2 linked regions of the Anolis sagrei genome follow. The protein of the gene in region 1 purifies or fractionates together with the protein of each later gene. This does not show direct contact. Links are inferred from orthologs where the notes say so. Each region holds a gene or a part of one and is shown in the gene's direction. Other genes may lie near its edges.

The links. The genes of interacting proteins can lie anywhere in the genome.
Region 2: the proteins of C6H17orf49 (region 1) and SMARCA1 purify together in Homo sapiens (affinity purification with mass spectrometry; 4 studies listed by BioGRID and IntAct, with this or other methods). This does not show direct contact. The link is inferred for Anolis sagrei from reciprocal best matches to the Homo sapiens genes BACC1 and SMARCA1.

The regions. Positions count from the first base shown.
Region 1 is NC_090026.1:294,238-301,480, forward strand, and holds C6H17orf49 (chromatin complexes subunit BAP18), read left to right. Parts: upstream 1-4,206; 5' UTR 4,207-4,295; coding exon 4,296-4,316; intron 4,317-4,409; coding exon 4,410-4,504; intron 4,505-4,600; coding exon 4,601-4,702; intron 4,703-5,988; coding exon 5,989-6,188; intron 6,189-6,498; coding exon 6,499-6,603; intron 6,604-6,707; coding exon 6,708-6,793; downstream 6,794-7,243. Other genes in the region: RNASEK (ribonuclease kappa), read left to right, coding at 568-709. UniProt on the Homo sapiens protein: Component of chromatin complexes such as the MLL1/MLL and NURF complexes.
Region 2 is NC_090030.1:17,307,231-17,314,952, reverse strand, and holds the start of SMARCA1 (probable global transcription activator SNF2L1), read left to right. Parts: upstream 1-4,689; 5' UTR 4,690-4,788; coding exon 4,789-4,929; intron 4,930-7,722.

The DNA.
Region 1 (7,243 bases):
CCTGGCGGGGACGAGAGACAGGGCCTTCTCAGTGTTGGCCCCTCGGCTGTGGAACGCTCTTCCTACAGACATCAGATCGGCCCCCTCCCTGTTGGCATTTCGGAGGAAAGTGAAGACCTGGATGTTCGAACAGGCATTCAATCAAGCAGTATAATTGAGTATAATTGACTATTGGAACACGGAATAATGGATAATGAAATTGGATTCCGATTTTATTGATGAGATGTGATGGATTTGTTATATTGATGTATTGGTGTCTAATTAATTGCTATGCTACTGTTTTCAAATGTCCAATGATTTCCTATTGTGTATACTGAATTATTGTATACACAATAGTCGCCTTAGGGTTGAGAAGAGTAAATAAAGTAAATAAATAAATAATATTATAAATATAATAATAGAATTAATATATAACATTATAAATATAATATAAATATGACAGATTAAATATATTATTAGTATATTATTGTTAATATAACATAGCCTATTCACTGTGTTAGGAGGGGCCGGTGCGTGGCATGGGGTCCTGACCCCCCTCTCTCCCCCCCTCCCCCCCTTTTTCGGCAGGGACGGTCCGAACAAGATCTACGCCCTGTACGAGCAGGTCAGCTACAACTGCTTCATCGCGGCCGGCCTCTACGTCATCCTGGGGGGCTTCTCCTTCTGCCAGGTCCGGCTCAACAAGCGCAAGGAGTACATGGTCCGCTAGCTGTGCGCCGTCCCCCCTCCCCTCTATTGTGCCCCTCCCCCCCGGGCCATGTATTCATTTATTTTTGGGGGAGGGGCTCTCCTTAGTGTTTCTCCCTGACCACGACACCCCCAGACTCTACAACTAGGATCTGGCCGGGGACACGTAATTTATTTCTGTTTGTACTGAACGAATGTTTGAGTGACGGCTGGGTGCAGATTCGGGACCCCCAGAAACATTCCTTGCCCTTCTGCCGCCTCTCTGAGACCCCCACCCACCCACCCCATCCCCTCCCCCTTCCTCTGGTCAGTTTTGCCGGCCGAAGGACACCTTGGCCAAACGGCGCAGGGAGCGGCATGTTTCCTTCTTCTGGCTGAAACCGACGGAACCCGGACTGTGATGTTGTGTAAATACTGTTGCCAAGAATGGCGGACACACGCGGCCACTTCTTCCATGCGCGGCCTCTCCCTCCCGTCGGCACGCTGTGTGTTTTGGGTCCTTCTCCATGTTTACTGTCAACGTTTCCTGTGTAAACTCTGCCGTTCTGGCTGGCTGGGAAGGAAGGGCAACGCGCCCTATATTTGGGGAGCGGGCCGGATTGTTGCCCCGGCTCTTGGTCTGGTCAGTTGTCCAGTAAGAGGGGGCTTGGCGCTCCCCAAGGCGATGGACGCCCCCCGCTCCCTCCGTGTGCAATAATAATAATAAGAATAATAATAAAGGGGGTTTGACCTTCAGGCCTCGTGCGTGCTTTCCCTTCTGCTTCCTGGAAAGGGAGGGGGGGGACTTCTCCATTTGCTGACCGCTCACCCTCCTCAAGGCCGTGACTCACTTGTCTGCCTCTGCTTTTCCTAGTTGGGAGGAGGGGAGACCCAGGAAACGGCCCCCAAGTCCATGGGACACCCCCACTTCCTGGACAACCAAGCCCCTCCCTCCTCAAACTGCCACCCCGAGATCTGGGCCTGACAGGCAACCGTCACGTTCTCGGGGAATGTATTTCTGTTGCACCAAACGGGAGGGGCCACAGGAGACGGGGCTTTAGGCCTCTGATGGGACAAGGCAGGACACAGGCCAGGCATGGAAGGCTGTTGGGAATTGTGGGAGTTGAAATCCAAAACACCCGAAGGGCCGAAGTTTGTCACTGCTTGACATATACATATTTACTTACTTAGGTCACTTACTTACTTACTTAGGCGATTCCCTCATTGGCCGAGTAGGATAGTCTTCCAGGATCAGTTTTCTGGTGGATCTGTAATTTACTGTGGAGCCCTCTTCTTGACCCGCATATTTTCCCACAGTGAGGGCATTGGTTTCCAGACGGAAGGCGGTCTCGGTCAGGGTTGGCTTCACGCACCTTCCTCTTGGCACTTTTCTCTTTCACCCTCCACTCGTGCCTCTTCAAATTCTGCAGCACTGCTGGTCACAGCTGACCTCCAGCGGACCTGATGGCATCCCAGCTGAAATCTTTAAAGAGGGACGACCTGAGCTGACACAACAACTCCACCAGCTCAGAGAAAAAGTGTGGGTGACCGAGAAAATCCCAGCAGATTTCAAGGATGCCACCATCATCACCCTCTTCCAAAAGGGGGAAAGACCAGACATATACATATATACACATGCACATATACGTACATAGGTAAGGTAAAGGTAGTCCCCTGACATGAAGTCCAGTCGTGTCCGACTCTGGGACTTGGTGCTCATCTCCATTTCTAAGCCGAAGAGCCAGCGTTGTCCATAGACACCTCCAAGGTCATGTGGCCACAGGCATGACTGCATGGAGCGCCGTTACCTTCCCGCCGGAGCGGTACCTATTGATCTACTCACATTTGCATGTTTTCGAACTGCTAGGTTGGCAGAAGCTAGGGCTGACAGCGGAAGCTCACGCCGCTCCCCTGAATTGAACCTGCGACCTTTTGATCAACAAGCTCAGCAGCTCAGTTCTTTAAGCTACTGCACCACCGGGGGCTCCCAATATGTACATACAAAGGTATAAATACACCTTTACATATAGAATAGAGTCTTGCTTATCCAACCTTTGCTTCTCCGACCTTCCATCTTATCCGACACTCTGATCCCACTGCCAGGCCCTCTTGGTAGTATTCTCCGTGTCTGGTGCCAAGTTGCACGGGTCACAGTCCGGGAGGAGACTCCTTATCATCCAACATTTCTGTTCATCCAATGTTCTGCTGGCCCGTTTATGTCAGATAATTGAGACTCTACTGTATATGCAAACATGCACATACACTCTATGGAGTCCTGTTCTTGACCCGCCTGTTCTTCCACCGTGAGAACACTGGTTTCTACGCTCATCAGCTGGAACCAAACATCTGAAAAATATGTTTGCATGTATATGTATATGATGCCTGGCTCCACCACAGAGACACATGCGAGAAAGATCTGGGAGTCTTCATGGGGAACCAGCTGAGTATGAGCCAGGAGTGTCATGCAGCCGCTCAAAAAGCCAGTGGGATTCTGGGATTCAGTGTCCAGACTGTGGGAAGAGGTCCCGGTGCCTCTCTATTCCGCTTTGGTCAGGCCTCTTCCCCTGTGTCCAGGGGGATATTGACTCTAAGACGGAAGGTGTCCAGAGGAAGAGGGGGACTCAAAGGTCTGGAGACCATGACTCATCCCTCTGAGGAGCGTCTTAAAGAGCGGGGCCTGTTTAGCCACAGCAGTGAAGGCGGAGAGGAGACATGGTGGCCATGTATGAATATGTGAGGGGCTGCCTGAAGGAAGAAGGAGCCGGGTTGTTTTCTGCCGCCCTTGAAAGTAGGACTCAGCGGAGCCATGAGCCGAAATGGCAGGAAAGGAGATTCCAATGAACACGAGGAAGGACTCCCTGACCATAAGGAGAGCAGTGGAAGCTCTTTCCTTGGAGGCTTTTAAACAGTCTGGATGGCCATCTTTCAGGGATGCTTTGATGGTGCTTTCCCTGCATGGCGTGGGCTCGGACTGGGTGGCCTTTGGGGGTCCCTTCCAACTCTAGGATACTATGGTTGCATTATTATTATTATTATTACTTCATATACAATCAAATATAATTAATCACAATAATATGATTGGCATTGTTAACAATTTCATTATATTGGAAATAATTATAAATTAGGTTAGGACTTCAGTATTATTTATATTTAGTTATATATATAAACACCTGGAGGCCGAAGTTTGCTCATGCTTGCAAACTCATCATAATATAATATTTTTTTATTATTATTCTACGTATGATATTTATAATGCTCGGCTGCGGGGGATTGTGGGAGTTGTAGTCCAAGGCGCCTGTCGGGAAGGCGGGGCCAGAGCAGGGAGAAGGAAGGCAGGAAGCAAGGAAGGAAGGGAGCGCGCCCTCTGGAGGCGCTGCGGCGTCGAGGCAGGAAGGGCTCCTCGGCGGGGCGGCTGTGCCCTGCTCCCATTGGCCGGGCGGCCTGTCACGTGACTCCTCCCTCCCTCCCACCGCGGGCCGAGCTGGGCGCCATCCAGCCAGCGAGCGAGGCGGAAGTTGGCGGGCGCGCGCCGGAAGGAAGAGAGGGAGGAGGAGGGCCTTGTTGCCATGGCGGCGGGAGCGGGAGCGCGGCCATAGAGCGGTGGAGGCACCCGCGGGCGAAGGGCCGCCATGACCTCGGCCTCCACCAAGGTACAGCGGAGGGGGGCTGCTGGGAGACGTAGTCCTCCTGGGGGCGTGGCTTGTCCCTCTCCCTCATTCTCTCTCTCTCTCTCTCCCTCTCAGGTGGGGGAGATCTTCTCCGCGGCGGGGGCCGCCTTCTCCAAGCTGGGCGAGCTGGCCATGCAGCTCCACCCGGTCGCAGACTCCTCCCCCGCCGGGTGAGCAGGGCAGGGGGCGGGGCCTGGCGGGGAGTGGGGGCGGGGCTTCCCCTGGCCACGCCCCTTCTCATCCCCTGACCCCTCCCCCCCAAATAGGGCCAAGTGGACGGAGGCGGAGGTCTCCCTCCTGCGGGCCTCCGTCCAGCGCTTCGGCGACGACCTCCACCGCATCAGCGCCCTCATCAAGGAACGCACCGTGTAAGGGAGGGCGGGGCCTCGGCGAGGGCGGGGACACACCTCCTCGGGGGGCGGGGCTTCCCTGGATCAGCTCTTCTCCTGAGTGCCTCTGGGGGCGGGGCTTCCGTGGGCAGGATCAACTTTGGGGGCGGGGCTTGCGTGCTTGAGTTCTGCCACGGAGGGGCGGAGCTTCTCTTGGGGGCGGGCCTTTCTCGAAGTGGGGCGGGGCTTCCTTGGTAGAGCCCTTCCCGGTGGGCGGGACTGCCAGGTCCAGCTTGGCCTCTGTGGGGCGTGGCTTCCGTGGGCGGGGTCTATCTTGGGGGCGGGGCTTCCTTAGTTGAGTTCTTCCCTGGAGGGCGGAGCCTCCTTGGCTCAGCTCTTCTATGGGGCGGGGCTTCTCCTGAGTACCTCTGTGGGGGCGTGGCTTCCGTGGGCAGAGTCAATCCTGGGGGCGGGGCTTCCCTGGCTGAGCTCTTCTATGGGGCGGGGCTTCTCCTGAGTTCTTCCCTTGGTGGGCGGGGCTTCCGAGGCCACTGCGGAGAGTGGCTTCTCTTCTGGGCGGGGCTTCTCTCGAGTGCCTCTGGGGGCGGGGCTTCCGTGGGCAGTCAATCTTAGGGGCGGGGCTTACTTGGTTGAGTTCTTCCCTCGGTGGGCGGGGTTTCCGAGGCCTCTGCGGGGAGTGGCTTCTCTTCTGGGCGGGGCCTCCTTGCCTCTGTGGGCGTGGCTTTCGTGGTTGAGTTCTTCCTCTTAGGCGGGGCTTCATCTGCCTCGGAGGGGCGGGGCTTGCCTTGGGGGCGGGGCTTTCTCGAAGTGGGGCGGGGCTTCCTTGTTAGAGCTCTTCCCAGTGGGCGGGACTGCCAGGTCCAGCTTCGCCTCTTTGGGGCATGGCTTCAGTGGGCGGGGTCTATCTTGTATATGTCGCCTCTTTGGGGCGGGGCTTCCGTGGTTGAGTTCTTCCCAGTGGGCAGGGCTTATGGTGAGGGGGCGGGGCTTTGTCGGCCTCGGAGGGGCGGGTCTTTCTCTCAAGTGGGGCGGGGCTTCCGTGGTTGAGTTGCTCCCAAGGGGCGGGGCCTATGATGAGGGGCGGGGCTTCATTTGCCTGGGAGGGCGGAGCTCTTCCCGGTGGGCGGGGCCTGCCTTGGGGGCGGGGCTTCCAGGTCCCCTAACCCTTTCCCAACATCCCTTCCAGGCTGGGATGTTGACACTCACCCCCCCCCCCCATGAGCTGACCCCTCCCCAATGTCTCCCCCTTTTCTTTCCCCCCTTCCTCCCCCCTCCCTCCTGCTGTCAATCAATTCCGTTTGCAGGGCGCAGCTGAAGGGGGCGGCCAAGCGCAAGGCCTACGAGGAGAGCGGCCTCCCAGCGGAGTCGCCCAAGAAGGGGCCCCGCAAGCAGTCGGGGGCCGGGCAGGGCCCTCCACAGCCGCAGCACCAGGGGGCCCCCTCCACCTCCTCCTCCTCCTCGGGGCCGACCCCCGAGCCCCCCGCCAAGAAGCACAAGGCCTGCGGTGAGAAGAGAGGGAAAACAATGCAGGCCTGGGCCAACTTCGGCCCTCCCTCCGAGTGTTTTGGACTCCAACTCCCAGCATTCCCAACAGCCTCAGGCCCCTTCCTTTTCCCCCTCAGCCGCTTAAGCGGCTGAGGGGGAAAAGGAAGGGGCCTGAGGCTGTTGGGAATGCTGGGAGTTGGAGTCCAAAACACTCGGAGGGACGGAGGGAGGGCCAAAGTTGGCCCATGCCTAGTACAATAATATAATATATAAGTAGGACTCCCCCCCCCCTTTTCACCCTAGACATGACCCCCTTTTTCTCCCCCCAGACGTGACCCTGAGCGCCCTGAACGACTCGGACGCCCACAGCGACCTGGTGGACATCGAGGGCCTGGGAGACCCCCCTCCAGCCAAGAAGCTCACCTTCGACCAGGGTCAGTGTGGGGGGTCAAGGGGGGGCACATGGGAGGGGAGGGGGCGTGACCCCCTTTGGACCCCTGGGACGCCCCACGACCCCCCCTCTCTCTCTTTCTTCCAGACAGCCTGACCCTGGACTCCGCCTTCCTCTTGGCCCCCAGTGGAGGAGGGGGCGGCAGGGTGAAGGCGGACCCCCTCCCCCGCTGAAGGAGGACCCCCTCCCCCACACTCTTCTGGGAGGGGTATACAGGTCAAGTGGGGAGGGGTCTTTCCCCCCTCCCCATGGCCAGAATTTGGGTCTGGGGTCCCCCTTTGAAGTGGGAGGGGCGCCATATACATGTCAATTGGGGAGGGGTCTCTCCCCCCTCCCCATGGCCGGGATTTAGCCCTGGGGTCCCCCTTTGAAGTGGGAGGAGCGCCATATATATGTCAAGTGGGGAGGGGTCTTTCCCCCCCTTCCCATAGCCGGGATTTGGGCCTGGGGTCCCCCTTTGAAGTGGGAGGGGCGCCATATACATTTCAAGTGGGGAGGGGTCTTTCCCCCTCTTCCTATGGCTAGGATTTGGGTCTGGGGTCCCCCTTTGTAGTAGGAGGGGTGCCATATATATGTCAAGTGGGGAGGGGTCTTCCCCCCTCCCCATGGCTGGGATTTGGGCC
Region 2 (7,722 bases), on another chromosome or scaffold:
TGGAAACTAGGCAAGTGAGGTTTATATACATGGGTGGTAATAATAATAATAATAATAATATATGTGGTCTGTTGGAAACTAGGCAAGTGAGGTTTATATACATGGGTAATAATAATAATAATAATATATGTGGTCTGTTGGAAACTAGGCAAGTGAGGTTTATATACATGGGTAATAATAATAATAATATATGTGGTCTGTTGGCAACTAGACAAGTGAGGTTTATATACATGGGTAATAATAATAATAATAATAATAATAATAATAATAATAATATATGTGGTCTGTTGGAAACTAGGAAAGTGAGGTTTATATACATAGGTAATAATAATAATAATAATAATAATAATAATAATAATAATACATGTGGTCTGTTGGAAACTAGGCAAGTGAAGTTTATATACATGGGTAATAATAATAATAATAATAATAATACATGTGGTCTGTTGGAAACTAGGCAAGTGAGGTTTATATACATGGGTGGTAATAATAATAATAATAATAATACATGTGGTCTGTTGGAAACTAGGCAAGTGAGGTTTATATACATGGGTGGTAATAATAATAATAATAATAATAATATATGTGGTCTGTTGGAAACTAGGCAAGTGAGGTTTATATACATGGGTAATAATAATAATAATATATGTGGTCTGTTGGAAACTAGGCAAGTGAGGTTTATATACATGGGTAATAATAATAATAATATATGTGGTCTGTTGGCAACTAGACAAGTGAGGTTTATATACATGGGTAATAATAATAATAATAATAATAATAATAATAATAATACATGTGGTCTGTTGGAAACTAGGCAAGTGAGGTTTATATACATGGGTGGTAATAATAATAATAATAATAATAATAATAATAATAATATATGTGGTCTGTTGGAAACTAGGCAAGTGAGGTTTATATACATGGGTAATAATAATAATAATATATGTGGTCTGTTGGCAACTAGACAAGTGAGGTTTATATACATGGGTAATAATAATAATAATAATAATAATAATACATGTGGTCTGTTGGAAACTAGGCAAGTGAGGTTTATATACATGGGTGGTAATAATAATAATAATAATAATAATAATAATAATAATAATAATATATGTGGTCTGTTGGAAACTAGGCAAGTGAGGTTTATATACATGGGTAATAATAATAATAATATATGTGGTCTGTTGGCAACTAGACAAGTGAGGTTTATATACATGGGTAATAATAATAATAATAATAATAATAATACATGTGGTCTGTTGGAAACTAGGCAAGTGAGGTTTATATACATGGGTAATAATAATAATAATAATAATAATAATAATAATAATAATACATGTGGTCTGTTGGAAACTAGGCAAGTGAGGTTTATATACATGGGTAATAATAATAATACATGTAGTCTATTGGAAACTAGGCAAGTAGGGTTTATATAAATGTGGAATAATGTCCAGGGTGGGAGAAAAAACTCTCGTCTGTTGGAGGCAAGTGTGAATGTTGCAATTGGCCAGCTTGATTGGCACTGATTAGCAATTCTACATAAAGGCCACCAAACGCAGCATTGCCCAAACATGAATCAAGGACGGAAGGAGAAACAATCTGGGCCAGCTAACACCTCCCAACAAAGGATTCCCCCAGGCAGGAAGCAGACAGGCTTTGAAGCTGCAAGGCCAATGTTTATTATAATTTTTATTATAATTTTTATTATTCATTGCTTTTATGGTTTTTAAATGTTTTGCAATGTTTTTGCTTTTTATTGATGTATTATTATTATTTATATTATTTTTACGCCGCCCATATCAGCCCAAAGGCAACTCAGGGTGATGAACAATCGGCACAATTCGATGCCACATATAAAATACATACATCTATGATTCTTCTTCCTCCCTGTGACTTTCCCATTTATTTTTCTCATTTCTTTGGGCGTTTCCTTTTATTTTATTAGGCTCCTACAGGTGGTAGATAGTTGCTGGGATAAGGTAATTGCAAATTATTAACTGTATTTGATATGATGCTTATTAAATTTAAAGCCTCTATTGGCTTCCATATTATTGTCACAGAAAAATGCCCTTCAGTGTGTTTCTTTGATGAAGCCTATTGCCAAGGAGGTTCAGTACCTTGGACAGTGCCTTTGAAGTTCAGACTTGGGTGTATGTAACTCAGGCATGGGCAAACTTCAGCCCTTTGTGTGTTTTGGACTTCAGTTCCCACAATTTCTAACAGACTTATCTTAGAGCACAGACAAACAATGCCTTTCTCAGAGTTGTTGTAGGTTTTTCAGGCTGTATGGCCATATTCCAGAAGCATTCTCTCCTGATGTTTCACCTGCATCTATGGCAGGCATCCTCAGAGGTTGTGAGTTCTTTCTCAAAGGCCTTTCTCAAATAACCCGGGCATTGCTGGGTCCCCAAGCTAATAAATCTATATAAATAAAAATGTAATGTTCGTTTGTGGGATTAACATAACTGAAAAACCACGATTGACACCAAATTTGGACACAATACACCTATCAGACCAACGAGTGACCATCACTCATAAAACACACACACACACAAAACCTAGCAGAATGGACTTTAACCGCCCCCCCCCATAAACCATATATACATATACACATACATTCATACACATATACACAAGCACACATAAATACACACACACACACATATATATGCAAATGCACACAAATGTAGACATATACACACCTACATATACACTTACCCATATAGACATATATACATGCACACACACATATATATGCAAGCACACACAAATATACACATATACACACATACATATACACGTACACGCATATACATATACACATACATACACACATATATACGCACATATATGCATATACCCAAGCACGCACATATACACATATAAACACAAATACACAAATATACACACACACAAACACAAACACACATATATACACATATATATACACACAAAACACATATACACATACTGGGCCGCAGCAACGCATGGCAGGGGACGGTTAGCCTATATAAATAAAAATGTAATGTTTGTTTGTGGGATTAAAAGACCTCAAAAACCACTGGATGAATTGCCACCAAATTTGGCCACAAGACACCTACTAACCCAAGGCGTGACCATCACTCAAAAAAAGTTGTAGTTGCTGAGATTTATAGTTCACCTACAATCAAAGAGCATTCTAAACTCCACCAATCAAGGAATTGAACCAAACTTGGCACACAGAACTCCCATGACCAACAGAAAATACTAGAAATACCGGAAATACTCGAAAGCTTTGGTGGGCATTGATCTTGAGTTTGGGACTTGTAGTTCACCTATACCCCGAGAGCACTGTGGCCTCAAACAATGATGGATCTGGACCAAACTTGGCACGAATATTCCATATGCCCAAAGATGAACACAGATGGAGTTTGAGGGAAATGTTGTTCGTTCGTTCAGTCGTCTCCGACTCTTCGTGACCTCATGGACCAGCCCACGCCAGAGCTCCCTGTCGGCCGTCACCATCCCCAGCTCCTTCAAGGTCAGTCCAGTCACTTCAAGGATGCCATCCATCCATCTTGCCCTTGGTCGGCCCCTCTTCCTTTTACCTTCCACTTTCCCCAACATAATTGTCTTCTCTAGGCTTTGCTGTCTCCTCATGATGTGGCCAAAGTACTTCACCTTTGCCTCTACTATCCTTCCCTCAAGTGAGCAACCGGGCTTTATTTCCTGGAGGATGGACTGGTTGGATCTTCTCGCAGTCCAAGGCACTCTCAGAACTTTCCTCCAACACCACAGCTCAAAAGCATCGATCTTCCTTCGCTCAGCCTTCCCTAAGGTCCAGCTCTCACATCCGTAGGTGACTACAGGGAATACCATGGCTTTGACTAGGCGGATCTTTGTTGCTAGTGTGATGTCTCTCCTCTTTACTATTTTATCGAGATTGGACATTGCTCTCCTCCCAAGAAGGAAGCGTCTTCTGATTTCCTGGCCACAGTCTGCATCTGCAGTAATCTTTGCCCCTAGAAATACAAAGTCTGTCACGGCCTCCACGGTTTCTCCCTCTATTTCCCAGTTGTCAATCATTCTTGTTGCCATAATCTTGGTTTCTTTTATGTTTACTTTTTGCGCTTTCTTCTTTCACCTTGATTAGAAGGCTCCTCAGCTCCTCCTCGCTTTCGGCCATCAGAGTGGTGTCATCTGCATATCTGAGGTTGTTCATGTTTCTTCCAGCAATTTTCACCCCAGCTTTGCATTCTTCAAGCCCCGCACATCCTCTCATGATGTGTTCTGCACACAAGTTAAATAGACATTGACAAGGGAAATAGACATTGACAATTGGGAGTTGAAGTGGCTGGGATTTATAGTTCACCTACAATCAAAGAGCATTCTGAACTCCACCAAGGATGGAATTGAATCAGACTTGGCACACAGGACTCTCATAACAAACAGAAAATACTGGAATCATTTGGTAGGCATTCACCTTGAGTGTTGGTGTTGTACTTCTAGGGTATTTCTAGTACTTCTAGCTGTCACCTTGGCAACCATAACCAGGGCACGCCCCCTTAAAGGAGGCGGGGCTTCAGGCAATATGTTATTTTCCCCGCCCCTTTCCATGGAACTACCAATGAGGGGACGTTCTTTCATGCAGCGCGCGCGCGCCTACTGAAGGCATATTCTCGGGGCTGCGTTCTCGCGATAACTTCCGGATAAAGGGGGCGGGGAGGGGAAACAAGCGGGGAACCAAAGCGAGGGGGGCGGGTTTCCAGGGGGAACCCTTCGCCCGCCTCCCTCCTCGCCAGAAACAAAATGGAGGCGGCTGTCAGTGTCACCGCCGAGGCCAAGGCCGAGGACGAGCTCCAGGCCTCCTCCGCCGGCCCCGAGGAGGGAGAGGAGGAGCCCTCCACCTCGGCCGCCTGCGCCCCGCCGCCAGAGCCTGGCCCGGACGAGGTAAGGCCCGGGAGAAGCGAGCGAGAGAGTGAGGAGGGAGGCCAGGGAGGCCCTGAGGGGAAGGGAGGCCTCTCTCCCCGAGCCTGTGCGCTCTAGGTATGCTCAGCCAGAGGGACGCTGCCTTGAACCCTTCTGAGCTCCAGCAGAGAGAGAGAGAGAGAGAGAGAGAGAGAGAGAGAGAGATGTTAGGAAAATTTAATATGTAGATTGGATAAATGTGGATTTGATATGTGGGAATGAATGGAAGAATGAATGAGTGGAGCTAATAATTTTGGAGATACAAATGCTAAAAGACCAAGGCCTGCAATGAATAAACCTGCTTGCTGGACTGTCATTATAAGTTGCTAATGGCAGTTGAATGGAAGAATGTGGATTTTATATGTGGGAATAAATGGAAGAATGAATGAGTGGAGCTAATAATTTTGGAGACACCAATGCTAAAAGACCAAGGCCTGCAATGACCAAACCCACTTGCTGGACTGTAATTATAAGTTGCTAATGGCAGCTGAATGGAGTTGAATGGAAGAATGTGGATTTTATATGTGGGAATAAATGGAAGAATGAATGAGTGGAGCTAATAATTTTGGAGACACCAATGCTAAAAGACCAAGGCCTGCAATGACCAAACCCACTTGCTGGACTGTAATTATAAGTTGCTAATGGCAGCTGAATGGAGTTGAATGGAAGAATGTGGATTTGATATGTGGGAATAAATGGAAGAATGAATGAGTGGAGCTAATAATTTTGGAGACACCAATGCTAAAAGACCAAGGCCTGCAATGACCAAACCCACTTGCTGGACTGTAATTATAAGTTGCTAATGGCAGCTGAATGGAGTTGAATGGAAGAATGTGGATTTGATATGTGGGAATAAATGGAAGAATGAATGAGTGGAGCTAATAATTTTGGAGACACCAATGCTAAAAGACCAAGGCCTGCAATGACCAAACCCACTTGCTGGACTGTAATTATAAGTTGCTAATGGCAGCTGAATGGAGTTGAATGGAAGAATGTGGATTTTATATGTGGGAATAAATGGAAGAATGAATGAGTGGAGCTAATAATTTTGGAGACACCAATGCTAAAAGACCAAGGCCTGCAATGACCAAACCCACTTGCTGGACTGTAATTATAAGTTGCTAATGGCAGCTGAATGGAGTTGAATGGAAGAATGTGGATTTGATATGTGGGAATGAATGGAAGAATGAATGAGTGGAGCTAATAATTTTGGAGACACCAATGCTAAAAGACCAAGGCCTGCAATGACCAAACCCACTTGCTGGACTGTAATTATAAGTTGCTAATGGCAGCTGAATGGAGTTGAATGGAAGAATGTGGATTTTATATGTGGGAATAAATGGAAGAATGAATGAGTGGAGCTAATAATTTTGGAGACACCAATGCTAAAAGACCAAGGCCTGCAATGACCAAACCCACTTGCTGGACTGTAATTATAAGTTGCTAATGGCAGCTGAATGGAGTTGAATGGAAGAATGTGGATTTGATATGTGGGAATGAATGGAAGAATGAATGAGTGGAGCCAAACATTTTGGAGACACCAATGCTAAAAGACCAAGGCATTCTCTTCACTCATCCTTCGGGAGATGCTAGCGGAGTACAAATAAAGTTAATAATAATAATAATAATAAATAAGGCCTGCAATGACTAAACCCGCTTGCTGGACTGTCATTATAAGTTGCTAATGGCAGCTGAATGGAGTTGAATGGAAGAATGAATGAGTGGAACCAAAATTTTGTAGACACCAATTCTAAAAGACCACTGGGATTGTGGCGCAGCTGGCTGAGTGTCAGCTGCATTAAGATCACTCTGACCAAAAGGTCATGAGTTCGAAGCCAGACCGGGTTGGAGTGGGTTTCCAACCAATTGTGTAGCCTGTTGTCGACCTTTGCAACCCGAAAGACAGTTGCATCTGTCAAGTAGGAAAATTCGGTACCACCTTAAAGTGTGGGGAGGCTAAATTAACTGATTTATGAGGCCATAAAGAAGACTACAGGAAAAACATTCCAGCGGGAAAGCATGCGGGGAATGCGGAAGTACTTCATCAGCGTCGCAGATGGACGATGAAAGGGACAGCTCTCCTGGCAGCCAGAAAAAGTTAAATAGCCTCTGTGTATGTCTGTATATGTTTCTATGTCAAAAATTGGCATTGAATGTTTGCCATATATGTGTACACTGTAATCCGCCCTGAGTCCCCTGCGGGGTGAGAAAAGCGGAATATTAAAGCTGTAAATAAATAAATAAATAAATAAATAAAGATCAAGGCCTGTAATGACTAAACCTGCTTGCTGGACTGTAATTATAAGTTGCTAATGGCAGCTGAATGGAGTTGAATGGAAGAATGAATGAGTGGAGCCAAAAATTTTGGAGGCACCAATTCTAAAAGACTAAGTCCTGCAATGACTAAACCTGCTTGCTGGACTGTAATTATAAGTTGCTAATGACAACTGAAAAAGTAAACAGTGATAGGAACTGTTACAATGCTAACAGTTCCGGCTCAGCATACTTGTCTGATACGGTTCTGGGAAATAGTATGATAGCTGGATCCGGAAGCTCCGAGTGTTACAGATTTGCCGCATCACTCCTTCGAGAGTGCTGTTTGCGCAAGAGAGACTTAGCTAATGTAAGCCAGGCTGGAGACAGATAATATAGAAGGAATGTAAGAGTTCTTTAATGGTGAAACCTATATCCTAACCCTGAACCGTACCGTAAGCCTAAGCCCTTACCCAAATCCTTACCCTAAACCTTACCCAAAACTTACCCTAACCCAAACCC